3 linked regions of the Caenorhabditis elegans genome follow. The protein of the gene in region 1 interacts with the protein of each later gene in a biochemical or structural test. Each region holds a gene or a part of one and is shown in the gene's direction. Other genes may lie near its edges.

Region 1 (8,976 bases):
CTTCCGCATTGCGCTAAAATTTACCGATTGCAAAATAATCTTACATGCTATAGTAATAAAAAATTTACATACTTGCCATTTCATTTCATTTAATTATTTCATCCAATTTATCTTGATCAGTATTACTCTTTGTTAAAAATTCCACTGTTCAATTTTTACATTTCAGTTGTTTTAATATCGAAGTGCACAAGAAGCGCGAACATAATGGACACCATCGCTCAAAAATTATGCTTCTAGTTGTAGTTCCTCGAGCATTTTTGATCTCAAAAGACATTTCCAAGAGCAATAATTGCCATTTTTGAGCTACAAGTACCATATCCTGCTCATAATTCATGTTCCACCACTCCCTAAAGTTTTTTCTTTGGAATTCCCCAGACTTTGCGCCTAAAATTCTCGTTATTCTCTCCAATTCAATTGGCTCAATTCAACTGACTAGATTTCAGTGATGTAGGTAGCGCGGAACTCAGTATTAAGAGAGGACTCAACTCAGTTTCTAATCCAATTTCAACAAATTCTAAGACACCGAAACGCTGCAGGTCTCGTAGAGCCTACGTGTTGACAGGTTCTTCCTTTTCAATCTATTTCCGTCGATATTCCGGCGTCATTTAGTTGAAAATGAGTGAAAAAATGCGATCTGACGCGAATTCACGTGAACTCGAAAATTCGAGAATGTAATCATTAAGTTTCCAAACACCAAGTTCTCTTTCGAAACCAAGTCAATAGAAAAATGAGACACCCACGAGAAGAAGGTTGGTCCGAAAAAAGAAACTAAAGAAGTTATTTATTTCTCTTTTTGATGTTTGTTGAGCAGAATATGATTTAGTTAAGCACATCTGATTTCAACGCCGATGAATGAGGTCGTAGGCGTCACGTTCAATTTGATCTGATTTGTTCAGTGCTTACGAGTAGAAATTCTAAATATGATGTTACTTTTTGGTTCTGTAAGATGGAGCTGGGTATACATGTGGTGCACGGCAATCGCTATTTGGCAATTTCAGTCATTTCGGCAAATTCGGCAATTTTGGCGAATTCTCATATTTTGGAAATTTTGGCAAATGCGGAAAATTTCAAAAACAAGCAATTACCAAATTTGCCAAACGCCGAAAAATTTAAAAAAAAACCGACATTTGCTGGTATTTTTTTTTAATCAGGATGCTAATTATGTAAGGTTAATCTATAAATTCTTGAAACACACTTAACTTTGAAATTGAAATCACTGACATTTCGCGCATTCGCCGATAAAATCTCTAAATAAAATAATGTAAACTGTGTCCAGTTTTGGTACTTGTTTAGTATACCTGGTTCAAAATATTTTCCAATGCGTTTTCCATTTATTTATTTTAGAAATGATCATTTAATTAAAACGTAAAATTCGCATTTTCAAGCTTAGAAACATTAATCCTAAGTCCAATATGGACAAAAAGAGTAGTGTATTAGTACCAAGTAAGAACCCTAAAAAAAAAATATTCTAATTAAATTTTTGGCAAAATGCCACATTTTTCTTTTTTTTCTCAACGGGGAAAAGTTGTGTTTCTTCCCTTTTTATTAAATTTTTTGTTTTCCTTAGGCTAAGTACAACTTGAAATGGAACAGAAATTACATAAATTTATTGCTTTCACATTTTGCTCTTCTTCACTCAAATCTTGGACTCTTGCTTTTCACAAAAAAAACCTTATAAACAAAAATAAGACATCTGAAAAAATGATGAACTTCCTGTCAGTTTGTTCCAGTATCCTTCTTAAATTTCCTTGTTTTCCACATCACAAAAATCCTACATCACGCTTCGACTCATTTCCTGACAGTCATCACATCACCAAATGAATTTCTATTTTTACAATATAGTTGTAGTATTTTTGTCGAACATATATTGTTCTAACTAACTTCTTAAAAAATTGTGCTCTTGACTGAACACAAATTTCTGCGTCGTTTCACGTTTACTTTTCTCAATTTTTTAAAACCAAAATTTAACTGCAAACTTCTGCATTGTTCTAAAAACTCACAGGTTATCTCAAAAAGATAAATTTCAAAGTGAGATTTTTTTAAAAAAATTCCGGACTGTTTTTTGATTTTGATGTTTTTAATGAATTTTTAAAATTCTTTATTAGTGCCTGAAATTAACAATAATTTTAAAGTTTGTCACACTGCGAATAAATTAATCTCACATTTCGTATGTTTAGAAAGATGCATGAAACTCCGTCGTTCTTATGAAGTTAATTAAGACATGGCTAATTGAAAGCCCACATGGTCATGAAAAAGTAAAACTTACAACTTTTTACTGAATATTAACCAGTCTCTATAAATATCCCAGCTTAGCCGGAATAGGGTCACGAAAACATGAAAATAAAGCTTGAACCTATTGTTATGATTTTCAATGCCACCTTTTGCAGTTTAATATACACTATTACTACTTCTCAGTTCAAGTTCACTTCTGAGACGGAACCTTTATTTTCTAACTTTCTTTAATCTTACTTTTTATGAGCCGAATGTTCTATTTTGTAAAATGATCAGATACAAGCCCAAAGCTAATTTTGCCAATAAGTGTTAGTAGATCAATTGAATTACAATATAATGACCTGGGCGGAATAGATTTTTGCACTGATTTTTTTCCAAGCTTACTCTATGAATATTCATAGATCATCTTCAAAGGTAGCGTGTGTTGTAGTTGTGTTTTGGCGGGTTCGTGTTATTTGACTCAGCTCAAGTAGATGTTGTAGTCTTCCCTCAATCAACGCGTGGGCTTGACCCTCTTTAAATTGAGTGGAAACCAGCCAATCTATTTGAAATCTACCCCCGAAATGAGATTCGACGATGACACGACGTGTGTGTTACGTGCGCTGAGAATTTAGGAAAAAAAAGATAATCTTCTTTTCGTTAGCTGCGCCACAACCTGTGCAGATAAACTCCGCACAATTGAAGTTCTTACTGGTCCCACCCGATTTATTCAATTGTATTGTGTCTTTTTTTCTTATTTCTCTACAACTCTAACTTTCTTCAACTATTCTCTACATCAGTGCTTTTTTCCACCATGAAAAAAGAAATGACGTCGTTGTTTCTTAGGAGGGGCGGAGCCTCAACTCAATGGTCCGTTCGAATAGATCCCACCCCTCATATAAATAGGACTGAAACCAAAGAAGTTTTTAAATTTTCAGCTTACCGTGTTTCTCAATTTTCAAAATAGTCTTTTTTGTGTCTGAACGGGCTGATCAATTATGTTTTTTTTTGAATGAAAAATCTTCCTCCCAAGCCTTAAAATTCCTTCCAAAGATCGAAAGTTATGTCTATTCAAGTTACTTCTTCTTAGATCAAATATTAAACAAAAAAATACGCCATCATTCTCTCACATTTAGTAATTCAAAATTTCGATTTGTTTTCGAACTTTTGAATTTCCCGCCTAGGAAGTGACATGAGTGAAATCTCATTAGATAAATGTGCCACTCACCGATGACACTATTTTCAAATAAGGGGGGGGGGTGTTTCGAATACCTTGTACACGCGTTTCCGCAAAACCACACACCCCGAGTTCCTCAGCTTCTTCCCCTCGACCCATGAGCCACGTCAAGATGTCAGCGTGTCACTTTTCATTGCTTCACCTTCTACGGTAACGAGAAAAGGCGGGGAATCCAGGATCTGGTGTGACTTCTTCCTTCTTCGTATCTTCCTAAAAATGTTCGTTTACTTTTTAGCGAGTGTCATTTGATGGGATGTCGTTCTTGAGGAAAGAGGCTAGAAGCTTAATACTCTCATATTTCATATTATTGGCATCAAGACGTTTATTATTTAACTACAATAACGATTGCTTTAACAACTAAAAATAATAATTTCAGGGTTAGACATGCAACGGTGGTCGGGCGTTCTTCTCATTTCGCTGTGTTGTTTGCTTCGTGGGGCGCTCGCATATACCGAACCAAGTAAGTTCTTGATGAACGAAACAAAGAAAAGTCTTGGCTGATCCAATCTCTTAATTGGGTTTGAAGGGAGTTTGGATAGCCCCAGATCAGCGTGGAAGATTGAATAAAATGACGGCAATAATTTGTCTTAATGTAATCTTGAATTTTATTTTAAAATTTTTAACTTTGTAGTTTGTCGAAACGTTGGTTTCGCGTACATTAGTTTTTTTTCAAAATTCTGGACCTGACGTAGTTAGCTGAAATAATTTTGCGCGGTGTTCAAACATCGCATCCGTATTGAAACTTCATTAGTTTTTATAAGCTTCTGTGATATTCATTTTCCAGTGAGACCTATGAATAATCTTCGCTGCTTCCCACGGTCCGTGAATCTCTAGACTTGGTGTTATTGTCTTATTGAAAAGTGTTTCCACTGACCTTCAAACTTTCTATAATCTAGAGTGGCCCAATGTATTTTTGGAAGGAAAAACGCTTGGATGAAAACAAGATGTAGCGGGAAAAAAAGGGGGCGCCTATGGATATTGTGGAAAGATAGTGTTGAGTTGGATGCTGAGTTTTTTATTCTTTCTTGTCGGGGCCCGTTGGGACATGTTTCGTTCGATGGTGCTCTGTACCCATCTAGACCAACGCGGGAAGCCAAGTAAAATGACGCTGTCGTTCTGCCAAAGTGATGTATTTCGACGATTTCAATCAACAAGAAACGTGTTTTTTTTCGTTTCTTTTTTCAACAGGGGTGCACAATTGAATTGTGTCGATTTGAAAGCATGAATTTGAAATTTTTGAAAATTCTCGTAAGGTCGATCGAAACACATACATAACTGCAATTAGGAGGAATTTGGACGCTTAGCGTCCGATAGGGGCGCAAACTTTTTTTTCCAAGGGGTAGTTTTTCACGGCGTCCGATAACTTCCGAGTTTGACCACTCACTATACATAATCATATAATTTTATAATGAGTGGCTCAACTCGGAAATTGTCGGACGCCGGACGTCCGATATGGCAGCCCTAAATACAAGACGGCACATTGAAACAACTTATATTTTCAGTCTATGAAATCGTCGAAGAAGACATACCAGCAGAGGATATCGAAGTGACTCGGACCAACGAGAAACAAGACGGTCGGGTATTCTCAAAAAGAGGTACAAAATTCTTCGTACAACTAACCATCAATTTTTTGTCTAATTTCAGACTTTGATGGGGCGATGCCAGGTGTGTTGCGCTTTGGAAAACGTGGAGGTGTTTGGGAAAAAAGAGAAAGCAGTGTGCAGAAAAAAGAAATGCCGGGAGTGCTCCGTTTCGGTAAACGTGCATATTTTGACGAGAAGAAAAGTGTTCCAGGTAAGTAGTTCCTTGTTGGTTTATTGCATACTGAAAATTGACTTTCAGGAGTTCTTCGCTTCGGGAAACGCTCATATTTCGATGAGAAGAAAAGTGTTCCAGGTGGCATCATCATCTATTCTAAATCAAATAACATCTCAGTTTTTAGGCGTTCTTCGTTTCGGAAAACGTGATGTGCCAATGGACAAACGGGAGATCCCAGGAGTGTTGAGATTCGGAAAGAGAGATTACATGGCTGATTCGTTCGACAAGCGCAGTGAAGTGCCCGGAGTTCTCCGTTTCGGAAAACGCGATGTTCCCGGTGTATTGAGGTCCGATCATTTTAAGACTTCATCCAGCTTACCAAGGTTTTTGTTTTCAGATTTGGAAAGCGATCCGACTTGGAAGAGCATTACGCAGGGGTTTTGCTCAAGAAAAGTGTGCCAGGTGTTCTCCGATTCGGACGGAAGTAAATTGTAAGTTTCTAAATAAGATTTTGCCAGTCTGACATGTATCAAGTTTCAGATGAATGTGAATGTAAAATGTGCCAGCGACAATTCGATGATCTCGTTGTTTTTCTTCTTTTCTTCCGAGCGTCTCATTTCAATCACTTAATATTAAGTTTTTGTCTCTTTTCAACAATGATACTAAACGTTGTCAATTCTAGAGCTCCATACGATTAAATGAATCATTTCCTGTTACGTCAAACACAGTTCGTCTAATTTTTGAGTAATGTAGTTGTGTGTCTATCAATTGTTTTCTGAACAATGTTGAAAAGCAGATTTGTTCATGGTTGACGTGTGTTGAAAAGAATAATTACCTCCAACTCTGTGCATTTTAGGAATTGATTCATTGAGCTTTCAAACGATGAAAAAGTATGCTTTGTGTTATGTCAGTTATCAGATTAGATAAGTCTAAACAGAACCCAGTGTGAAATGAGTCTATTCATGAAGCTGCTGAAAATTTGAAGCATGTGTATCAAAATGATTCCAAAAAATTTGAAACGCAGAAAAGTTTTTTGAATTATCAAATAACCAACTTCATGTGCACAGGTAATTTCCGTCCTTAATTCTCTTTCAAGTTTCAGATTTGATTAATTGAATCTGGGATCATGAAGATTTTTTCAAACTGCTTTTCCCAATACACTGATGAATCTAGTACTGTACAATTTTTCTTTCATTTCAGAGAGAGCATCAATATTAAAATTAATTGTAAGCAAGTCAACAAAGTCAACAAGTTTTCTACTTAATTATGGCTTCACTTTTCACTACGTTCATTAACAATAATTTTAAGTACCGTATGTTTCGGAGTGGTATCCAACCCATGAGGTACTGATAGGACTAACAAAAAATTCTTAATCAATTAACTTATTAGGGGTGATTAAAGGAAAAAACCTTGAATCACAACATTTGACGCATCCATTTAATTGGCCGTCGGGCCCGTGCGGCGGTGTTGAAGACTGAAGATTAGGCCAATGTGCGTAGCGCCATGATGATGAGAGTACGGTCGTTGTTGTGTGTGTGTGTGATAAACACTCTTTACGTTGGTCCGGACAGAGGAATTGGGGGAGAAATGCGTTGATGATGTGTTGACCGATGAAGATAATAGCTATAAAATTTACATTTTACTATTGCCTCTTTTTCACAAAAAAAATTAATTTCTCACTTTGATAGCAATATCGATCATTTTCGTACATGATTCACAGCTCCATTTCTTTTCATTTAACCAACGTCCATCCTTCGTTCTAAAACGCACATTATTAACTTATCGAGTTTTTATGAATGAATGCATGCACTCTGCTAATATATTTGACCTTTAAGAGCAAAACACATAATCATAATTTGGTTACAAAAACTGTTATAATATAAATGCCAAAGATTAGAGGCATACTCACCGATCCGGGCAGAGTGACAGTAAATGAGCACATGTCATAGTTTGAGAGGAACGTGCGTTGGTATGGAAGATTTCTTTGTTGAAGCCATCCAATAGATCCGTTACAATTTCGAGACTGCGTGCAAGCGTCTTCTAATTTTTCCATTCATTTGACAAATTCGAAGAAAAAACGAGTGACTAGAGGAGATGAGCAATCGGAAGTCCTAAATATGCTTTTGTTTAAAAAAATCGTGAAGCAATGAATAACTCACAGAGTAGAACGTGCGGAGCTTACGTGGGCACTCTTCACATTCAGGCCAAGTTTTCATATTCAAGCTTGGGCCATATGCTGCTGAAAACGTTGAACTTCGTATATGTCTAGTGGTTTTGTGTAAAAGTTCGTGAAAGGCCCATCTCGGGCTGTCCAAATCGGCGGCGTCATTGGAGTCTCTTTCTGCAGGATACGAAAACTGAACATATTCCTGCTCAATATTTTGCTCAAAGATGTGTGAACCTCCGTCAGGTTTGAATTTCGAGCTTTTTGACAAGCTATTGATTTCTTCAAAATATAAGTTCTTTTCATTCAACTGAAACAACTTTTTGCTCTTAATGAGCACCAAGGGTGTCAATTCCCGTTTTCCGTTTGTCCCGTTGTCCCGTTTTTGGGGTGTTTTCACGGGAACGGGAATTCCCGTTTCCCCGTTTTTAAAATTTTCACGGGAACGGGACATTTTCCCTCATTTTTTGCCAACTATGCACTCTTTTTTTAAACCGCCCAGTTTGTCCCGTTTTTGAGTGTTTTCAAAAAAACGGGAATTCCCGTTGTCCCGTTTTCGAAATTTTTACGGGACATTGACACCCTTGATGAGCACAAATGGCTCTTGATATACTCCTTTCGAGACGAGTAGCTGTTTCTTCTTTTGGAAAATGTTCGGAAAATCTGAAGAGGCAAATGAACAGAGAAAGTTGTTCTTTCCAAGATATCGAACCTGACCAGAGGGTTTCTGAAAATAATTTATTGATGAAATGAAGACTGTCTAGATATTAAGAAACCATAGGATCATGAGAATGCCTGCCGTTTTGGCGCGGGAATATCTTGTTGCGAAGGCACCTAAATTTCTCGTCGTCGCATGTTCTCCCTGCTGCCGCAACTTTCGCCCCAGAAAGGCATTTTCATGAACTTATGGTTTCTTAATAGTTTCTTTTCATAGTTTTTAAAGTTAGTCATACAATAAGAACATTTTCTCACCTTTTTGTTAATGACTACTTTATCAGGAGTTTCAACGTTGGCTTGCAAGCATTGCATGTGGTGTTGCACGCAAATCATATATTTTGTTGTCTCATCAGCATTCGTGTCGACTTTGAAGGCGATGTATCGATTAACTTCGGTAACATTTTGGACGGATAAGAATAAATTGTACTCATTGTCGAAATAAAAAAATGTACTTTCTTCAGAACAATCAATGTGTATGGCAAAAGCCAACATCGGCAGCGCTACGAGTATTAGGTTTAATGACATTACCTGAAATCAGAAAAATTACTATCTGAAACTGTATAAAGTGTCAAGAAAAATAAAAAACATGTACAAGAAATACCAAAACAGAAAAAATAATTCATAAATTAGAAAGGATTACGAAAACATAACAGTGGAACACCACCTCGACCACCACCACGAGAGCAAACACACCACTCACCAACCTGCACCAAGAAAACAATAAGAATAACTGGAGGGCGACGGTCTCTGTCAGGCAAATTGGGCTGGGGCGCACTTGTCTAATTGGGCTGGGGCGCACTTGCTGACACCTTGGTGCAAGAACGACTTTTTCCCGTTGAATTCTAGAGTTCTTCGTTTTTTAGCGTTTAAACAATTTTTTTCGAAAATT
Region 2 (9,382 bases), about 10 Mb from region 1:
TTTGTATACTTCCGAGTTTAGTCTGTCTGGGGATCTGAACCGATTGAGAGGGCTAATCAAATTGTGAGTTGACGTAATGGAGACTCTAAAGCATCTGCGTCGTGTTGTGAATTGTTTACTTGAAACATCCACCTCCTGACCAGATTCCTTTTTATTCCCTTCTTTTGTCTTTTTGTTTCTTTGATGAGCCATTTCTCGGAATTTTAAGAAACGCCCAGAATGAATTTATGTACAGCTTCTTGGTTGAGATTAGATCGAAAAAAAAACAGAAACCATAGAGTGAACAATATAGAAGAAAACAAATTTCTCTAAACGATCGAAACTTTTCATTCCAATGTCTATTCCTAGACCAAATCTGCTTTTTATTTTAGAACTATAGCGCATTTGCAATTCAAAAAAACATAGACACTAAAATCATTTATTCATTGTTTATTTTTACTTTTTTTTTCAAATTTCATTGTTCCAAAGACTTTAATGGAATTTTATGACATTTCTGAATACTTTATTTTTAACTCCTTCAGTTAAAATCCAAAAACAAGGAAGTCGAGATATTTATACATTGTATGAAACTTGTTGACTGTTATATATATATATATATATATAACAGTATCGGGAAAAACCACTGCATGACAAATTGTAGTCTTCAATAATTCAACTTTATGACGGGGTGTTTCAAGATTCAAAATTTAAAATCCAAATTTCATATTGATTTCTGATTATTACTAAATAAATAAGTAAACCGCTTTTTTATAACCTATAAGATCAGACAATAATGCCAGGAAACCCAGGCTTAGTCTAGAAATCCGTATTCTCGCAGGACGCCAACCTGTTATTTCCTGTTTTTTTTTCTTCTAATGGGGATATACTTTTTCCTTTTTTGCCTCCTGAAATTGGGCAGAGACTAAAGACTATACACTTCCGTGCAGACATCCTATCCTATCACAATTAGCATCATTTTAGGACCTACTGCAAACTTTTTGACTTTTTCTTGCATGCTTATTCTGATATTTTCAAACTCGGATGTACTTTTCATTTTCATCGATTTATCTTGAATTTGGGCTTTCAGTCCATCACACCTTGGAAGTTATATATCAAAAACTGCTATCCTTCCACTCTTTTCTCATCATGGTCCTTCTATCGAAACCCATTCCACCAACATTCGTGTTTTTCCAATCGAATCTTTTCTCGACCCATTTTCTTTTTTCTCAAATGTCCTTTCATCCGTTGAACGTTTAAACGGCCATTTTCATGATAACACATTTCAAATAAAAACCTAACAACCATACCGAGAAACTCCCAACGGGTGCATATTTCTCAGATTTATTTTTCGTTAAAAAGTTCACTTGGTTACTTTCCTCATTTGATTGATGGTCGTTCCAGACATTATGGCTTCACATTTCTATATTTTTGATATTTCAAATTTTTTTTCTATCATAGTCTTGTTAGCATTTGCATGAAGGACTGATGTCTTAACAGAATTAGTGTTCAGACTAAATTTCAAATTTTATTTTGTAGAGCTTCCAGTATAAAAATAAGGACAAACATATTTGTTTCCAGATTCGCACACGGTTTAGATTTCACTATTCTACGTCCTTTCTTATTAGTCAGATTATTGTTTTAAAAAAACTTATAAATGTGTACATAGAAGGAACAATACTGTCTACATTTAGAGTTAACAATATAATATTTGTAAAGTGTATCACTTCAAAAGTAGTCATACATAGAAAAAATGTAGGGAATGCATAAATATGTAAAACCGAAAAGGTGTTATTAGCAGGTATCTGCAGCGTGAATGAGCATCCGACTTAATCAAGGACCTTAAAATGCCACATGTACATTTTTCCTGTTGTTTACAACTTTCCCAGAAGATATGTTAACTTCAACCTACATTTATCATTTACAGCACTAGAAAAGTACGGTAGGTACATATATCAAAGGGTTAGTGCGACGTGCAAAAAATGTGTCTCCGAAAAACGTTATCAACTTTCTCTTTATCAAAAATTTCAATTTGTAATCAGCGAAAAAAGGGAATAGTAAAAAATAGTAAAAGTAAAAAAGGGAATACTAGCTTAAAGAGGAAAACTAAGTTTTTTGGGATTCAATTTCACTTGTTCTAAATGTAGTTTGAAACTCATCAGAAAACAATCACGGAATAAGTTGGCTTGTAGAATCAATTAACGAGACCCGGAAGTCAACTTTTTGTTACCCTTTTTTTGCAAATTTGATGGAAAAAAGTCCCTCCGTTGTCTAATCCTTATCCCCCACTACGAACCAAGACCAATCCGAAAACCAATTGAGTGCCGCACGAAACCAAAATTGGGGTCCTATCGAGAGGACTGCTGACTGAAAGATAAATTATAGTATTCCTGAGTTTTTTTTTCTAGAGTGTGTGTATGTCTAAGTTGGAGTCAAAATAGCTTATGTTGTTTTTCTTTTTATTTTCAAGTTTTAAATTCTCTCTTTAATGCTATATGCTACCCTTCATAAATACGGGGTCATGAATTGAATTTTCCTGGAAAAAAAGAACCAAAATAAAATTAGAACTAGTTCCTTGTTTTAGTTTTTTATTTCACTTAAAGTTTTAATCTAATTGTGTCGTTTCCAGACATATATTTCTGCGATTAATTCTTACTTTCCAGGTTATATTAAAAATAATTTCATTACTTGACATTTTCCAATCATGGCTGTGCCTGATAGAATTAAAATAGAAGAAACTCGGAACGTGCATTTTCATTAGACAAACTTAATCAAGCCGCCGTGGTTGTTTTAGTGAGTCCGTCGACATCATCACACATGTGGATATGTAGAAAAAAGCAAAGGAAAAATGGAAGGGTGCTGCAATTTCAAAAGGGAACCCTTTTTTCTGTTTGTTTTTTGTTCCGATTGCATGTCATTTCTTTAGAGAAAGAACCACTACGGTATCTTGCACTTTTCCGTTTTTTTAGATTGTTGCTGGAGATGAAACATAACATACTGACAATTTTTAAAATTACATTATTAATTACATTAATTACATAATTACATTTTTTGAAATTTGATTTGGTGTCGCTCCTTTTTTAAAGTTAAGTTAACTAAAATTTGTAATAAAATCAAAATTCAGAAACTCGCAAAATGTCAGCCAAGTTTAGAACATTTAATGTTTAATAAATGTTGTCCCGTATGTGGCTATATTTTTTAAAATAATTTATCCGTGGCTACAAACAGAAATTCGCGCTTAACATTGCCTGCGCTTGTTGTCAAAAATTTCAACAGTAGAGATGATTGCTTGCCCAAAATTTATTTTTAATTTTGTTCTGAATTTTTAACCAATCATACTAAATATTTTATGCTTTTTAGCTAAATTTTTAGCTAAATTGACAATTTATCATAATTTCGGATTATTATAATATATAAATTTCTGTGAAGTCCAATATATCACAATTATCTGTAAGTGCAAAAACCAACAAACCCTATTTTCTTCAAATTATTTTGAGTTTTTTTTTAAACTTGTAGGTGGTATATTAACAGCCGAATGCATGCTCCTCAAAACGGATGTAGAAACATCTGCAAAATTTTCCAAAAGTTTTGTACATGATTAAATACATAGTATCAAGAATGTCACACCAAATAAAATGTTCTCGAAATATTCGAAATTTCTAGGTATAACTATTTTCAAATCTCATATTCTTTTCACAATTTTCAGAAAAATTAAAATTTCTGGCCATCGAACTTACTCTAGGCAGTAGCACACCAGAGTAAATAGCATGCGTGAAATTGACCGTAAATCTTCAGAATGCCACTTTCTAATGCCCACTTTTCTCATCTCTTACTCTAACGAAAAGTGCGGTTTTTCGGTATTTTTGGTTTCGTTTTCTAATCCCGGATGTTTCATTTCCTTCCTTAAACTTTGATGAGTTGCTGGACTATACATATTTCAAGAATCACAATACTTTTTGTTTCTATTTCGGAATATCAGTGTTTCATGACGTTTTTGTTCTTCTTATCTAATTCGATTCTTGACTTTTCACTCCAATGGACCGTGATCATTTTTTTGTTTCAGAGCGGAAATGAATCACACTTCTAGTGAAAACTTCACAACGGACACTACAGAAGCATTGCTCAACGATACATAGTAAGTGACTGAATTCTTTTTCAGAAAACTGATATCATTTTCTCGTCGGGCCCATGCTGCTCTAATGAGGCTAGCGTGACAAAATTGAGTGCACATACGATGAGAAAAATGCAAACTAGATAGATTTGAAGTGATGGGTGCAAAAAAGATGCAAAAGTTTATGATGCGTTTGCGTTCTGTTAACAAATGCATGAAGGATGTGGCTTAAGAGTTTAGGGTTCAGAGTTGAAAAAATAAAGTGTTTGGTTTGAAGATTTTATGAATTGTTAGATCGAGAATCGTATTTATTTCATTAAGTTCTTGATATTTTTATGATCTTTCTTTTCACAAATCCAATATTTCTCTCACTTGGAGTTGGAATTAAAAATGAAATATTGATAACTTCATTCTTCCTAAAAATCGAGTACTGCTTCAAGCAAAAAAGGCAAAAATCTTTCTGTTAAATATTCGTGGTTGTGTTGGCCTTTTTGTTACTGCCGAATCCCGGAATGTTTTTAATTTGATGCATCAATAATTTTCCTTAGGCCTAAAACTGCAAAACTTCCAACCAGCATATCTATTGCATAAGTACTGAGCAGAATCAGAATTTTTTTTTGACAAACAGTACGAGTCAGTTTAAAACATGTTTTGATTGTTCTAGAAATATTGGTCACTTCAGAAGCGGTATTTGCAAAACACAACGTTTTTTTTTTGTTATTTGTACTCAGTCTCGGGACCCTTTGGTTGTTGCTCTCTACAGAATAATAAGGAAAACTCGTTATCACGTGATGAACTTTGCTCGGCGGAATAAAGAATCTGAAGGACCCTTCATTGTGTTCTGCATTAAGCTGCACGCCATTTTCAAAAAGAATTTTAGTTTTGGAAATATTGCTATTATTATTATTCCTGTAAATGTATGCTTAGGAATTCCTTTTTCTAGTATTGTAGCATCTAATACAATTTTCATCAAAGACATAAATGTCAATTTCTATCGGCTGTTCTCTCCCTGTGAATAATACGACAATTATATTAAATTAATTTTCATTAGTGAATAAGCGTAAGTAAACTAGAAACAAAAACGTCACTGACCCCAGCTGAGCAGTGGAACAACATTGTTCTTAACTCAGTAAAAAAAAAGAACATTCCTTATTTTAAACCAGGCAAAAAAACAACATGCTCACTGAACGACTATGTAAATGTTCCAATATTCGTTGGAAAAAGTACACATCCCAACGCAATATTGAAAATCTCACGGAGCGACTATTTGTTGAGCGCATAAATCTTACAAATCTCTACTCAAGAGTCAATCGACTTTTTCATTTTCTCACACTTGAGACATCTACACATTCACAATAAAATCGAATTTTCCATTGCTTCTAATTGTTTTTATTTTTAAATTTTTTCCACACCTAGCTTTTGTAAAATGAAAACTTGTGTCGTAGCAAGATTTAATAGAAAAAATGATTTAAGAAGTCCATTGCAAAAGTATTAAATTTTTTATTATAATACCGGATAAGATTCACATAGAAAGTTTAGCCGAGATCAGTCCGACTAGAATTTGATGTGTCAGATTTGATATTTGGATTGCTTTAGAATCACAAAAAGTTCACCAGTATTAGATGCTATATTATTATATTACATGCTTCGAGAAAATCTAAAAAGGGCGTACTTTTCAAAAAGAGAGCATTACTACCATCATTGTATAAAAATTTGAACCATTCCAGTCAGACTGCAAGGATTTCTTTTGCGGTATACATAAATAACAGATCTCATATTCTATTAAATAGTAATTTCTAAGATCAATATAAAATTCGATGTTGGATTTTTGTAGTAGGTTTTTTTTAAAATACCTAATCCCATTTCACACGAAACATTGTACTTTTTTAGTTTGAATTTTTTTTCCACTACAATTCATGTTTAACTGAACTGAAATTTGTTCATTATTTTGTATGTATGATACTAAAATAAACACTGTGAAACGTTATCAAACTTATAATAGTACTTTTTCTAGCTCTCATTTACAAGTTTATAAGCACAAGCCCCCAAAGACTCGTGGTGTCAGAGTGTTCCATTTCGGTTTGATTCACGTAGATCTACAAAAAAATGCGTGAGAAGAGACGCAGAGTTCTCAACTGATTTTTCATGGTTAAGAACGTGCTGACGTCACATTATCTTGGGCTAAAAATTCCCTTATTTATTGTAGATCAAACGGTAATGGGACAGTCTGGTACCACGTGCAAAGATACTCTTCGAAAATATTGGTGAATTCCCTTTGTGAATGTGCATTGATTCTTTTCCGTCTTTAAACTTTATAATTCCATATACTGCAGAAATTTTTTGAAAAAAAAAACAAATTGTCATTTCAGTGATGTTCAAAACTCAATCAAAAATAAAATAACCCCAAAATAAACAACAACTCGATTTATGAACCTTTCACCCTATTTCAATGGAATGTACCAATGTAATGCACCTCTTCTTGTTCAGTCTCGTTTTTTTCTTCGGGTTTTCTTTGAATGAAAAAAAAAAGACGAAGCACATTTGCCCTCAATCTTTACAACAATTTTGTAAAAGGTTGACGCCTATTCTTTCGAACATTTCTTCCTCTTTTTCCTGCTCAATTTGTTGCTCTTTTCCCGCAAAAAGATATGACGGGTATGCAACACTTGAAAACACAGGAAAAACTAATCTTTTGTTTGTGATTTTGTACCTAAGCAAATCCGAGCACAAAACAGAGTTTGAAACTTTTAAAAAAGAATATATAAATTGTCTCTAGTGATTGGAGTGCATTAACTAACAAGGAAACGGTTAAATTATTTTTTAGTATCAGTGTCTTCCGAAAACCAGCTTATCTGGATTCTAGAACCGTTCTAACAAATTAATGCACCAAGTCACAACACTTTTCTCTCACTTGACTGACTTTTTTGTGAAAATGTTTCTCACTCAAGAGGTGATCTCTGTGTAGTTGGAAGTGGAAGTGAAAGAAAAAAGTAATTCGACACAGGTTCCTTTATTTATTATTTGTCGTCGTCGGTGAACTGTCATCCCGTAAACAGTAAACTTTTGTCAACGATCAATTCTAATGACCAAAAATCTTATCCACTCACTCCTCAAGAGCGAGTTCAAAAGGCACCCGAATTTCATGAGAAATTGAAACATGCGAATATTTATGAAACATTCATAGGAGTTTTTAATTTTTTTCCGGAGGTAACATCTTTAAATACTTCCTGTGTAGGTTGGCGATCTTTCGATATCTTTTTCAGTGCTTTTTCCTACTGTAAACTAGAAAAGGAAATCATTCTCTAGGTTCGAAGCTAGTCCTTTTTTTCTAAAAATGTTTCAAAACCAACATTTTGAATAAACGTGTTTGAAAACATATGCAACTATTATATAACTAATTGATAATTTGATTTTATGTATTACGGGTCTCAAAAGTGCCAGGCGGAAAAAACATCTGCTAATGTTGCACAATGGAAAAAAATTATGTCGCAATTCACTTCATCGGTGATGCCCTTTTTACAAGCGCAAATAACATTCAGTATAAATTTTTTTAACGTGAGCCACATAAACATCCTGATTTTCAATTTTTTTAACCCCTAACGCTATTCATAGAGTGAAATCTAATCGCAAAAAAACATTTAGATTTAAAAAAAGTTAGAAATTCATTTTACAGTTTTCTAGGAACGCATAAGCGCGAGCATGCCACTTGATAGAATATGTCGTTGACTTCTTTCAGGGTAAATCATTGTTTTCTAAAAATGACAGAAGCAGACCAAATTCCAAAAAAGAGGTGGCATATTCAATATGATGCACACGTTTTGTGAAGTGATCTTTGTATGTCAGTTTAGTTTCATTTTTCCTGTGAGCTGTTTGTTCAGTTGTGAAAATTTGTAACAACTAGTTAACATTGGTACTCTGCGTATGAAACATTTCAGGTGCAACATTTTCTTTGTGATTTTAAGTTATAACATAAATGAAATAAATAAAGATTACTATTCAAAAATTTTAAATGAAGGTTTAATTTTTGTATTGATCTGATTTAATTACTCGTATCAAAACAAAAAACAGTAGAAACTGTGGACAACAAAATGCAAACAAGAAAAGGAAACCAAGATATGAGTGGAGATTATTTTAAGATGATTTTCGTATGTAGGTTCATTGCAGTTTTCCAATTAGCTCGTATACAACCTCATCATGTTTAGAGTTTTTTTTTGTAATAAACTGATGTTAAAATAACAGCAAACTATTGTTATATTGTAAGATATGCTCCGCCTGAATCTTGGTTATTTCCTTTCATATCGAGATTCCTTCTAATTGTTAAAATTTGTTTGATAGCATCAAGTCATTAAAGATTGTCTTGCAATAACCACTTAATGACGCATGTTGCGTATAGACGACAGTTTTCCTCCCACATAAGTCACATTTTTTTACATTGTATTACAAGTCTTCTCAGAACATTTGAAATTATTTTTTCATTCAAAAATCTGACTGCTTTTCTCTATATGTGGGCTTCACCAGACCAGTGCTTCATTAATATTTAATATGACTCCTAAAATTCCCAATTGAGAAGGAACAGGAAACAGATGGAATGGCTTTCAATGTTTTTAACGTCTGTGTAATAAAATTTCAAATTCCGAGAAGTAATATCCGAATTCGATGGAACAAATTTGCGGATTCACGGATCATTGTTTTCTATAAAAGTTGACAAACGTTTTCGAGAATATCTACTCATATCTACATTTGCATATTATTTGGTAAACCAATGAATAACCTAATCTTCGTTTTTCTCCTTCTTCTTCTTTCTTTCCCTTTTGTTTTTCCTCCTTTCCCGATTTCTCGTTTTCCATGGTTCAGTTACTCCTAGTGTTTTCCAGGCGGTGTATTTGTTTCGTCCGTTAAATTTGATTTGTCTCAAGATTTCCCTCTAATTTTCAACAAATTGAGACTAGTAAGTGAAAATTGAGTGAAAAAAACAGAGAATCTGAAACGATATCCTGTTTACCTTTACTTCTCAAAGTGCAATTGCTCGGACCACCCCGCCTCCCGCCTTCCAAAAAAGAGTGGTGCCACGGCTTAATGCGTTCACGATATGGTTCTTTTCCATTTCTTTTCTATCCTTCTAGTTTTTTATTTTTCCACTACTTTTCCGTCTTCTAGATTTTTGCTACACCTCTTTCTCCATCTTTTTTCCTTGCGTTTTCTTTTAACTTTTACGTTCCTTATTTTTAATTCACGATTCTAGCAGTCAGAACAAAAAAGATCATCTTTACTTTCAAAACCCTTGTTCCGGGGAAG
Region 3 (12,220 bases), on another chromosome or scaffold:
TTGGATTGATTCCAAATTTTGATCAGAAAAAGTGCAGATTCCAGATTCCAAAGAATTTACCCAAGAAAATTTAGAGAAAATTCACTCAACAGCTTTTCCTGTGATTTTAGTTGGTGTGGAAATATTATTGTTCCTGGAGATATGCGTGCTAGGGGTCTCAGGATCTGCCGAAAGTTTTTGCCATCGGAAGTCAGAGACCTCTTTTTACAGTTCCGTGGCTAAGTTCCAAAATCCAGCTTCCAAGAAAATCAAACTAATGGAATGCTTGGAATCCGAGAGTAGTACTACTAAGCTGCAATACCATTAAAATCCTACAACTCCCTCTCTCTCTCTCTCTTCCACCCACCATTTTATGAGTGTTCCCAAATGTGCACACACATCCCATTTATCGAAACGGGGCTCAATGCCAATCCTCACCACCCATAAACACAGAAGTTTTCAGTTTTTCATCCCTCTTTTCATCAACATCATCATCATTTTTTGCTCGACACAACTTTTGTGTGAGTATCTATCCATGTATGTGTGCTCAGGGCCCATCATCATCACCACCATCATCATCTCCATCATGAAACGTAATTTGGGAGGAGCAAGGAGAAGAATAAGGCAGTGAGCATACATACACGAGAGTGGAGCATCTACTATTTTGGCCATAGGGAGTATTCTTCTTCTTCTTCTTCCGACGAGGTTCATCATCATCATCATCTGTCCCTCCACACTTGTTCAGCTTCTTCTCCTCCTCCTTCTCCTATATTTTCTCCAAATAACCCATTTTCCACCTATCGAGCACAAACACCCCTTGTGTGCTCCATCCTCTTCTTCTACTGCTTCTGCTGCTCGTTTTCCAAACTTACTCCATCTCTATTCCATTTCCATTTTCGTTCATCTTCTCAAGAGCAGTAGATGCTTCTAACATTCATCACCTTCAAAAACTTCTTCCTTCTTATCTTTGTCGTCACTACATTAATCATGTTGTGTGTTTTTGTGACTTTTTGGAAGTGTTAGTATTTGAATCATCAGTGGAGTTATCTGATAATACTAGATTATTAGAAACTCAAAAGATCAGACAGCAAACGTGATCAGTTCTTTATGTAGACCACCTTGCAAAAAAATCCTAAAATGTTCTCTTACAAATCAGCTGCATTTTGAAACTTTTGCTCGTAGTCGGCGTTTGAAAATAGAGCTATCAAAATGCTTGGTAGCGACTTGCTCGGGGTCAGTTTATTCTTAAGCAGATATTTGATTTTTAGCTCATGTATCGAGCAGGTTACCACAAAAGCTCTGTGTCAGTTTTTTTTGTTGAAGAAAACTTCTCTAAAAGTTTCCTCAGTGATTGATTATTCTCTGATTCTTTTTAATTAATATCAGATTTTTAAAACTTCCATTGAGTAATTTTACAGTGTTCAGCAAAAAATTGTTCTGACTTTTCTACGTCACTATTTTTTTGCAAATCTACAGCAGCTGAAAATATTCGGTATCATAGTTAGGCTATTGTTAGATTTCTTTAGAAGTCTGCTTGAAATGTGGGATCAAAATGTGTTCTGTAATCTTTGAGGCAAGAAATTTATTACTCTATTATCAAGCAACATAAAAATTATGGAAAATCAAGAGGCCCTTAACAGTAAAAAGGCACACAGAATTCGGTCCGCTTTAGGTTCATCAGAGATTAAACCTTCAAAATGTATTTGAACAAAATTGTGTCACCCGCCAGGTTTTTTCACTCGAAAAATACAGAATGAAATATGTTTTTCATAATAAACGCTATTGTTAATATTCCCACTTAAAATTGAAAAGTTCCCAGAAAGCTTAGTATCTCCAGTGCTTCAAAATCTTTTGTTATGAGATCTCTTCCAAAAATTCGAATATCCCAGTGATCATTCAAAAGCCCATCGGAACAGAAAACACATCATAGTAGTCTCCCAAATACGGCGCAGAATTTCAATTTTTATCGCAAGCTGTGAACATTTATTTCTATAGAAACAGTGGAGTTCGTCCTCCATTAAAAAACATATGTATAAATTAAAAACATCATAGAATTCTTAGTAGTTGCTTCTTACATCATCATAGTTTCATAGTTTCCACTATTATTTTAATGAGCCAGAAAGTTTTTTTGTTTTTTCTGTAGTCAAAACTGTTGTCAGACGAGTTTCAAGTAATAGATTTTAGTGTTTCAAACGCTTGTAGAGTGAGTGTAATTGCTATATTTCAGCTGCTTAAATGTGTCCGCAGAAGCTCAAGCTCAACTATTTCCAGCTTCTTACTTTGCGCAAATGCGGCGTCTTTTCGAAAAGCCCCAACATTCGAATGCCCAATTATTCAATTATTTTTGAAATGCTACGCCTATATTAACAGCCATAAAGGTTTAAGGATTGAACTATTTTTTGACTCGACATCTGCAATCGCCTGTAGCAATAGAATCAACCCGTTAGATGTCCGCGGCAGTATTTTTAAAAGAAATTTGTAAGAAATTATTTACTGAAAACTATGCACCAAATCTTAGTCAGTAGTTTGTCTGTTATATTATGTTTAGAATCTCTTTTAGTTTTCGGGTTAACATTTTATAGTAAAAGAATCTACTCGGAATTTGTAAATTTCCATCTATATGAGCACAAATTCCAGAGCATTTCCAGTCCAAATTTCGGTTTTTAATAATATTTCACAACAATTGTTTTTTCTTTGTTAAGTAGGAACAGTTTAACACAAAGTCCCCACAATTGACAGTCCACCTTCGAATTAAATTCCAAAAAAATTACTTGAATAGTTCTTTGCTGCTTCCCACCTCCGCATTGATAATTGACATTAAAGCTGTTTACTTTTAAAATATCAAAAACTTATTTACTTGTTTATTGTTTTCCATAAGTTTTTTTTCTTGGAAAAATATATTAATTTTTTATTTCGTCTCAATAATATTTGATCATCATGCTTCATTATTTTATTATTTTTCATCGATGAACTCATAGCAATTAAAAACCTCCCTTCTTCTAACTAATGTTCTTGAAATTTGCAAAAACCGAACGACGTAAGGCTTTTACTATCAAAATGGCGGGTCTCAATTTCAAACGCTCAAAGACAATTGAGTTGGAAATTGGAAAAAAGGGAGGGGGAAATTTCGTTGCTTTCATTCCTTGAGTCACTTTGTGTATGTAAATTGAGAGGACTTTGAATTGAATTTCAGGATAGACTAAGTGAGCCCCATGACCCAGACATACAAATTGTTGCGATTCACAGAAAAAATATTTTTTGTTGGGTGTTCCGTACTTGGGAGGAAGTCTGTGTGGTCCACCATAATATTTTTTGAATGAAGATATGTAGGTTCCTAGAACTAATTGAAATATAAGTTCCTTCATTTTTAGACTGGAAATAAATAAATAAAAGTTCCAATTTCGGATACCACGGTTTTGAACTTTCTATCCACTTGGCTATTTTTATTTTGAACGCCCATCTAAACCAGGGAAAACAGGGTATTTCTGAACTTTTTGATGAAAAATGGATTTTGGTATCTTATTTATCGTACCAAAAAATAGTAGAAAAACTACGGTAAACTCACAAAAGCATGATATCCATGAATATGTGTTCTTGTTTGAAAAATGCCTCGTAAATTTGTATCTGAAATAACCTGTTCATTTGGTTACATTTTTAATATGTATATTTTCTCTATAGTTACGATGGAACTGAAGCATTATCTCTGAAATAAACATACACATTGAAATATCAATAGACTGAAGACCGAAACGTGACAAAATTAACAATTTATCAAAAAAATTCAAGCTGAAAATCAAGTTTCTCAGCACCTGCTCTCAAATTCTCAGTTTGGAAGTCAGTGCAAAATTGTTCGTAATTCAAAGTTCGCAGAATTCGAAACTCTAGATCGCTGATGTTCACCCTTTTTGCTCAATTCTTCTTCTTCACAAGGAAACACCTATCTATCTCTATCTCTATTGTCCGTAAAGAAAACAAAAAACAAAACAAATGTTCGAATCTCACGCACCACAGATTCATGCCTCTCATCTTCCTTATTCTCCATTTTCTAATCATCTTCGACTTCTTCTTCTTCTACGCCTTCCTGACTCCTCCCACACTCCTCATCCTTCTAGTACGTCGGTTAAAAAGGACTCAGACATCACACTTCTTTGTTTTAGGATCAAAAAGAAAATCAGTATAAAATGGGTGATGCTGAATCTCATCATTGTATAGATGTGAACGCCATTCTTCAGCAGTTCAATGATTGGACAGTCCTCTTTGAAGTTCGGGTAAATTAATTTATGATTTCAGAGATCTTAAAGCGAGTGATTCAGTGAAACTTCTTTATTTTTTCTAGACAACACTTTTTTGTTTGGAATTTTCACTTAGATTATTATGAAATTTAATAATCTAAACTTACATAACTATAAGTCTGAAAACAAAGCTTGAAAACTTCACCTTCTAAACCTAGGCATATTACCCTGCGTATCTAAAATCCTCCTATCTGAAATTTCAAACTGAAGTGCTCAGAAAAAAATGAAAAAAGTTCTGAATGCTTTTTGGATATTAAAAGTTAAAAAAGTTGATTAAAAGTTAGTGTCCGAATTAATCCGAAGATTTCAAAAATTAATGAAGTTTATTTTGCACATTATTTTAAAAAATTAAACTAGAAATGAATAAAAACTAATTTCTTAAACTCTATTTTTCTGCAAACCACCTTGAAATCAATCAATGATCATAAATTTTCAAAAATTTGTTTAAAATTTGTACCTGAAATTTATTGCTCGGAAACTCATCATCAAAATAACTGTAACAATTTTCAGCTTGGATATTCAGTACTATACTTTCTCATATTAATAATCGGATTGGTTGGAAATGGGCTATTGATCACTTCAATTTTAATGCGAAAGAAACTTTCCGTGGCAAACATATTCTTGATAAACCTGGCAGTTTCTGATTTGGTAAGTTTTCAAGATTTTATTTGAATTGAACTTTGAAAGTTCCTGGCTCAAGATCAGAATCAAAATTATAATTTTAATGTCAACCAAAAACGTCATACATTATTTCCAGCTTCTTTGCATCACGGCGGTGCCGATCACTCCAGTATTGGCGTTTATGAAGCGATGGATATTTGGAATAATTATGTGTAAATTGGTTCCAACTTGTCAGGCGTTTTCGGGTAAGAACGGGATCTAACCATTCGGAACAATTGAATTGTCCACTTTATCGTATTTGATAGGGAGAGCCGACCAAAAAGTAGAAAGTGTCGCTTTTGAGGAAGTAAAGGGAAAAAGGGAAAACTTGAAGTTGATTTTGATTACGAAAAAAACATTTTCGACTCTTTTTTTTTAGTGTTGTAACTCATATTTTGGGTGGAGGTATACCTGTAGGTTGCAGGTGCCTAAATTAAAACCTGAATAAGTATAATACTGATTTCAAAACAATTCTATCCCAAATTAATTTAAGCTTTAAAGACCCTCTGTGCCTGTTCTCAGGCGCTCGTCTTGAAAAATAGTTACGACTCTTGTGAAGAACAGAAGTCAGCATAAAATCTCAAAGCAGTAACATATTTTCAGCTGTTTTAAACACAAAGAAGCTTCAAATTTCAAAAATAAAAAACTCTGTACTGATTTTGCACACGAACTCTCTCCCCGAATCAATTCAATTTCCTAACTTTCAGTGCTCATTTCTTCATGGTCTTTGTGTTACATCGCAATTGATAGATATCGAAGTATTGTGACGCCACTCCGGGAACCATGGTCTGATAGGCATGCAAGGGTAAGATTTGAAAATTTAGATGGGGTTCTGTTAAAGTTGGGGTAGCTCCAGTTGGAAAAGTATTCAGAACTATTCATTTGGCACTAAAGTAATAAAACATCAGAGTGAACCTTTTTTTTTTAAATTGGAAATGTTTTTATTTACTGTTAAAAAGCGGCAAAGCACTAATTTTTCTAAAATTACAAATTTTGGATGATGGGTCTTTGTGACCAATTTGAGGATTTTGAAAAAAACTCGCACGGGTGCTCCTCTGTCAACTTACAGTAATTACGGAGTTTTCTGAAACCACTGTCTAAAGACGCATGGATTCATGAAAATAAGGCCTAGCTGCAAATAAAAAGTTTACGATATCATATTGGTGGTTTTGGCCAACTTTTGACAGTGGGTTAAAATAAGTAAATTGGATATAAAACAGCCGAAAACTAAAACAGCGTTGCAATAATTGTTTTCGCTTATTAGACCCTTCTGAATAAACCCGTGCGCCTTTAGGCATGCGTTTCAGAAAGTTTCTTTGTAAACGTACGGAGTTACACTAATAGAAGAAATACCGTATATATTTTCAAGTTTAGAACGTAGCTTTGCGAGATTCAATTTAATTTTTAGTGCATTAAATACTTTAAATAATTAAATTTATTTCGAAAATTCCCAAGCTTGAATAATTTTTCAAATATATTTTTCCAGTGGCTTCTGATGTTCACATGGGTGGTCGCCTTCCTTGCTAGTTATCCTCTATATTACTCACAGAACTTGAAAACAATGGTTATTGAAAATGTGACATTATGTGGAGATGTAAGTTTGAAAACCTCAAAAATATCCAGCTAACATTCATTTGTTCCAGTTTTGCGGCGAGTTCAATTGGCAGTCGGATGAAATATCCAAGTTGACATATACTACGAGTTTATTGATTATTCAGCTGATTATTCCAGCAATTATCATGTCTTTTTGTTATTTAATGATTCTACAAAAGGTATTTTATCTATTGAGACGTTTTGAAATGGTCTATTTTTAGGTACAAACCGACTGGCTTGTCGACGAGGGATCCATGTTGACTGCCGCACAACAGGTGAGACATAGACGGTAGCAGATAGCGATAGGGTTTTCATAACGACACGGAAAACCGATTTTCCCGTCGGGGGTATAGCTCAGTGGCAGAGCATTCGACTGCAGATCGAGAGGTCCCTGGTTCAACTCCGGGTGCCCCCTAAATACTTTTTGGAATTTTTTTGCAAAATGTTTTTCACGATAATTATTTCAGGCTCAAACAGCAGTTCGAAAGCGACGAGTGATGTACGTGTTGATTCTAATGGTTATTGTTTTTATGGCTTGCTGGTTCCCGTTGTCCGCCGTGAATTTGTTCAGAGATCTCGGAATGCGATTCGAGTTCTGTCAAACTGTTTACAAGGTTTTAATGATGGACCAAATGTATTTCAAGTTGCTCAATGTGCACGTCATCGCGATGACTTCGATCGTATGGAATCCGGTGCTCTATTTCTGGATGAGCAAGGTATTTGCACATTTAGGTATTTAGAATTACAGTGTTTCATTCTGATTTTGATAGGTTAATGGAACTCAAAAATTTTGAAGATGAAGAAGCCAATATGTGGGCGGTCATAGTTTTGATAGTTCCAGAAAAAGCTACGCGCTTGGCTTTCTTTTTTGCAACACATTTTTGAGCTTATCGGAATTGTTCAATAATTTTGATACATTTTTTGATGGTTGAAATTAGGATTTTTAAATTTAAATAAACAATCGGACAGAGATAGTGAAAAAATACTCGCACTTCTTCCTAAAAAGATTTATAAAGATTTATTATTTTTCGTGCCCTGCCACTCTCGTACTGTCGACTGTCCGAAAATTAAAATTTCCGATAATATAAGTTCGATAAATAAAAATGTGCATACGTCTTTCAAGCTCAAATGTTTTAAACTTCTCTGAATATTAGAAAAAAAAGATTAAATTTAACAATTTTTGAAATTTAGCAACCGGCTTCTGTCAAACTTTTGATTGCACCGCAACCCTGGTTTCCAAGCTCAAATTGCTCCAAATCTTAGTTTTAGGCATTGTCTCAGAAAATGATATTAAAAATGATTTGCAATTGTTGAAACCTCTGATTTTCCGGAAACCGGTAATCTCCAAAATTTAGAAACACCCTAAACTTTTCATTCCCGGAATTCCCGATTTCTGGGCACCGCTGGTTTACCAAAAACGATTACATTTGAAAATAAACCCTGTCCTCCCAACAATCATTTCATCTAATTTCCCCTAATTTTCAAATCTTCCAGCGTCATCGACGAGCCCTGAAAGACGACATGACGTGGCTCACCAATGCTCGCCGTCATACAAACGTCGGCGTTCTGTCTCGCTTCACACCTTCTCCATCAGTTTCAGTGGTTTACAGACGAACTCTGGAGCGACATCTAGGTGTCAATCATTTCCGGTAAGAGACACTTTCTTCACGAGTCTTTCTTGATTTTCGTCTTTTTGATGCCGCCGGCTAAATATGTGTGTGTGTGTATGTGTGCTTAGGCTAAATATGATTATGGTGGTATTGGGTGGAAAAATGAGATAGAGAGAGAATACACTCACATGCAACACTGATTCTAATTGACTTTTTATTCTGTTTCATAGGGATCCGAGGGGAACAATTTTGATATGAAATGAGAAATATTTCAAAATTAAAATCATAGAAACCTCACAGAACATTTTTTACCAGCGTTGTGTTTTTTAGCCAACAAAAATTACTTTTTAATCTGCATTTTTGAGAAATCTGCAAATGGATACTACAATTACCAAAATTACAGTGAAACTGTTCCAAAAAAATTTGAAATTCTCTAGTTATCAAAAAGTGGCAATACTCAGTTTTTACGCATCATTATTTAGAGCCCACCGAAAAAGTTCCAAGGTCAGGTCTCCAAAAAGTTCACAATTTCTGGCCATCCCTTACAAAACTACAATTTTAAATTTTTCAGCCGTGGCACACTTGCGGACCCGACATGCACTTCACGTGAACGAAGTCTTCCGCGAGAACTTCAATCAAATTGTTTCCTTCTTGTTCCGCTTATGCCATTATGTCAATCTGTGACGAGGAAGAATAGTCATCTAGCAATCAATCGAGACGGGTAAGTGATGTTACAGTTGATAGTCCTTGAAAGACATTTTTATGCAAATGGCGAAAAAGAGAAGCCAGAAGCTCAATTGGAAAAAAAATTACAAAATGTAAAAGATGATTAGGTATTCCCAATATTCTCATAAGTATTTTGTCAGCTGGAAATTTCTCGTAGATTTTCCAAAAAAGCAAGCCGAACATCTTAAACAAGATTGTGCTGGAACATTTTCAAACTTGTGGCTCTTTACTGTATTTTTTTTCTTGAAGAGATACATGAGCTGCAATTCTACGAAATTTTCAATTGCCCAATATTCATCCAATATTTTAATTAAAATGTAGAAAACAATTTGGTACATCTGAAAAGTCTATATTTTGCCTGAAACGTATGAAGGCGCAAAAGTTTAATGAAAGCTGCCAATAGGTGGAAAATGCCAGGTCATCAAAAACAACTGCAACATTTTCTGAACCCCTTTTCAAAATTTCCAATTAAAATGAAATTCATTTTCAGATCAATCAATTATATTTCTGTAATTTAATATAAAGCCTCATGGAAAAATGTGGGGCAACATATTGTGATATTCCATTTTGCAGAATACACAAATTTAGCAGCTTGTTCATAATGTGAAAAATGTAAAATAATTTTTTGAAGGAGTGTTTCAAATTTTTTTTTGTTTTTTTTTTACAATGTGGGATTACACGTAAAAATATACCATGCGTTTCCTTTCTAGATCCCTCCGGCAATATATACATTTTCCAAAGATCCCACACGAACATTTTATTTCTAATTACAGGATCGTCATTCCACAAGCCAATGGCTCAAGTCGTCGGCCGAGCAGCGTGAATACCAATTCAACTCGAGACTGGTGACACCACCAACTTCTTTTTCATCATTTTCTCATTTTCTCATTATTTTCATTCACTTTTCTTCCCATTTTCATTTCATTTCTCTCATTGTCCTCCGCTCTTCCTATCTCCATTCCCTCCGGGTTCGTGCTCTGTCGTCTTTTTGCCATTTTTGTGTCTGTTTCGAAACGAAACAATAAATTGGATATTCTTGGTGCCGGGAGAAGAAGCTTTCTTGCTCTTTTGTCTATTCCTCTTTACTTGTAAGAATTGAGAAAAGAATTGGAAAAGTGCACGACAATGGTGGTTGTGCATTTTAATGAGCTAGTTTTGAGCGAAGAAAGACCGCCTGAAGCTTTCTAATGTCACAGAGAATTAACAACAGGACATATTTTAGAAAAAACATCTGAACTCGAAACCTTAACATTGTTTAAAATTATCTGAATATAATTATTTCGAAATTGAAATATTCCGCTGAAAAAATGACCAAATGCTCAATCTAATCAGAATTTTTGTTAAAAAATTATTGGATACTTTTTAAAGCAACCTCTATAACGGAGTCTACCTGGAAAACTCTAAAATTAAAAAGAATGGATAATTTAACATTTATAAATTAACTTTGTGATGGCGGGGAAATGTCTGAAGAATTTACGAACTATGTTTAAAATTAATCCACAAACATTTTTTTTAATTCAATAAAAAATTCAGTCCATAAGAAAGCTTCTAACTTTTTTGGAAAATAGAAAAAAATTATTCAAAATTAAGAAATATGGGTTTAATGTAATCTTTAAGTCTCAGACCGTGTGGATTTACATTCTCACAATATTTGAACAATACTTCTTCATCAAAAACAATTAAAATTGACGTCACAACCGCGTGCACAAAGAGCTATCAATTTATAGGTTGTAACTATGATAAAAATTGATAACATCCACATATTAAATGTTTTTGAATTTATTTTTTCGGTTGTTTTTGAATAGTTTTTTAAATTGTATTTGAAATTCATTGTTAGAAAATTGCATTGGCAAAAAATATGAGAATTTCAAAACTTCAAAAAAAGTTTTGACATTCCAATTTTGAAATATTTTTATCAAACTGTTTCAAAAATGTCAATTTAAATTTTAACCAATTCCAATTTTTGCTAAAATTTTCTGTTGTTGGTCTAAAGTCTAAATTTAATTTCCAATCATGATTAATTTGTTTAAAAAATTCAAAATTACGCCTTTGAATTTACCAAAAAGTTTCAAGATTACAATTATTTGGAACAGGTAAATTTTGACACTTATAAACAGTTGTTTTTCATTCAGATCCCTTTTCATTAAAAATTTATAAAAGAAACCAATGTTTACAGGGTCATATTTAAATTTCACTTCAAATTTACATAAGCATGGATCCCTAAATCCATGCTCGCAATCGGATCACTAACCCAACAAGTAATGGAAGCATTAGACCAGTTGCAAATGCTCTCAAATTCCGTTTCTAATCCATCGTCTGGTCACACAGCTTTCCCTTCAGTTCATCCGGTATCTCTAATTCTCTTCAATTTGCATAATGTTTCTCCAATGGGCACTACTTTTGAAAGACGAGGGCACTGAGCTCCCTTGCTCTCACCCCTATTTTGGTCGTGAGCTCTGCACTCTCTTCTCTCTATTCTTGCTTCTCTTAGGCTTCCACTTCCAAAATGGATCAATTCGTGTTTGTCTCCTTGCAAAGGAAAAGGGGACTCCCTTTGAGAAGAGACAGCAAATGATCTCATTTTGTTTCGAAATACTTTGCTCCGTTTTCTCGAATATTCATTTTTTGCGTTATTGACAAAAAATTATTTTTCATTTGTCAATTAAATAAACAAAAAAACTTGAAATTCACAAGAGAATGCCTAAAATATCCTAAAGTTCCAAGAAATATTTTCCAAAATTTGTCGCTTTTCGTATTTTTAGCGTAAAATTGTTCTACATTTTCATACTCAAAAAATATTGAAACGCTCTAATTTTCAGCCAAAAATTGACATTTTTTAAATTTTGGCAATTTACCGCAATTATGGGTTAAAAATTTTATAATAATTTCCAGGCGTTTGATCATGTTTTTCTAGTCAAAATCCCCACTGGAGCTGCTCCTGCTTAATCATAAATCTCATGATTTTTCAAAAATCCTAGCATTTCAAAAATCATGCACTTTTTCAGTAAATTTCAAAATAATACTTTTCGCGTCTAGATTCTTCCGGGCAGTTCCCTCAGGTGACTCTCCCTTCCTTCAATATGTTATCAGTTAACTTTCCGTCTTTTGACGGTCAGCTGACCTATGAGTGATAAAAAAATGGTGAGCACACACAGACAAGATGACCGGAGCATCAACCCACGTGTCCCAGTACTTGGCGAGATTTCAAGGAAATTTAAAGAAAATGTCTGAAAAGCGGATAAAAAACTGTAAATTCAACTGTAGAGGTATGCAGTTTTAATTAAGCCTGGTGTGTAGGCACATAGTTGCCTGCCTGGTTGCTCCGTGCCTGCCTTGTGTCTACTACAAAATACACATTTT

The links.
Region 2: the proteins of flp-18 (region 1) and npr-10 interact in a test that uses a peptide from one of them, tested with the Caenorhabditis elegans proteins (one large-scale study listed by BioGRID).
Region 3: the proteins of flp-18 (region 1) and npr-13 interact in a test that uses a peptide from one of them, tested with the Caenorhabditis elegans proteins (one large-scale study listed by BioGRID).

The regions. Positions count from the first base shown.
Region 1 is NC_003284.9:3,009,135-3,018,110, reverse strand, and holds flp-18 (SVPGVLRF-amide 3), read left to right. Parts: upstream 1-3,824; 5' UTR 3,825-3,832; coding exon 3,833-3,908; intron 3,909-4,950; coding exon 4,951-5,043; intron 5,044-5,092; coding exon 5,093-5,242; intron 5,243-5,290; coding exon 5,291-5,344; intron 5,345-5,390; coding exon 5,391-5,553; intron 5,554-5,603; coding exon 5,604-5,694; 3' UTR 5,695-5,697; intron 5,698-5,746; 3' UTR 5,747-5,921; downstream 5,922-8,976. Other genes in the region: Y48D7A.1 (TransThyretin-Related family domain), read right to left, coding at 7,936-8,097, 8,343-8,612. UniProt on the Caenorhabditis elegans protein: FMRFamide-like neuropeptides. Ligand to G-protein coupled receptor npr-1. Involved in modulating locomotion quiescence during the sleep-like state called lethargus which occurs during molting between larval and adult stages, acting via npr-1.
Region 2 is NC_003284.9:13,027,361-13,036,742, reverse strand, and holds the start of npr-10 (G-protein coupled receptors family 1 profile domain-containing protein), read left to right. Parts: upstream 1-4,038; 5' UTR 4,039-4,111; intron 4,112-9,382.
Region 3 is NC_003283.11:14,850,506-14,862,725, reverse strand, and holds npr-13 (G-protein coupled receptors family 1 profile domain-containing protein), read left to right. Parts: upstream 1-4,122; 5' UTR 4,123-4,160; coding exon 4,161-4,247; intron 4,248-4,781; coding exon 4,782-4,919; intron 4,920-5,028; coding exon 5,029-5,137; intron 5,138-5,638; coding exon 5,639-5,736; intron 5,737-6,417; coding exon 6,418-6,525; intron 6,526-6,574; coding exon 6,575-6,703; intron 6,704-6,745; coding exon 6,746-6,799; intron 6,800-6,867; exon of another isoform or gene 6,868-6,939; intron 6,940-6,991; coding exon 6,992-7,240; intron 7,241-8,018; coding exon 8,019-8,173; intron 8,174-8,705; coding exon 8,706-8,855; intron 8,856-9,633; coding exon 9,634-9,709; 3' UTR 9,710-9,901; downstream 9,902-12,220.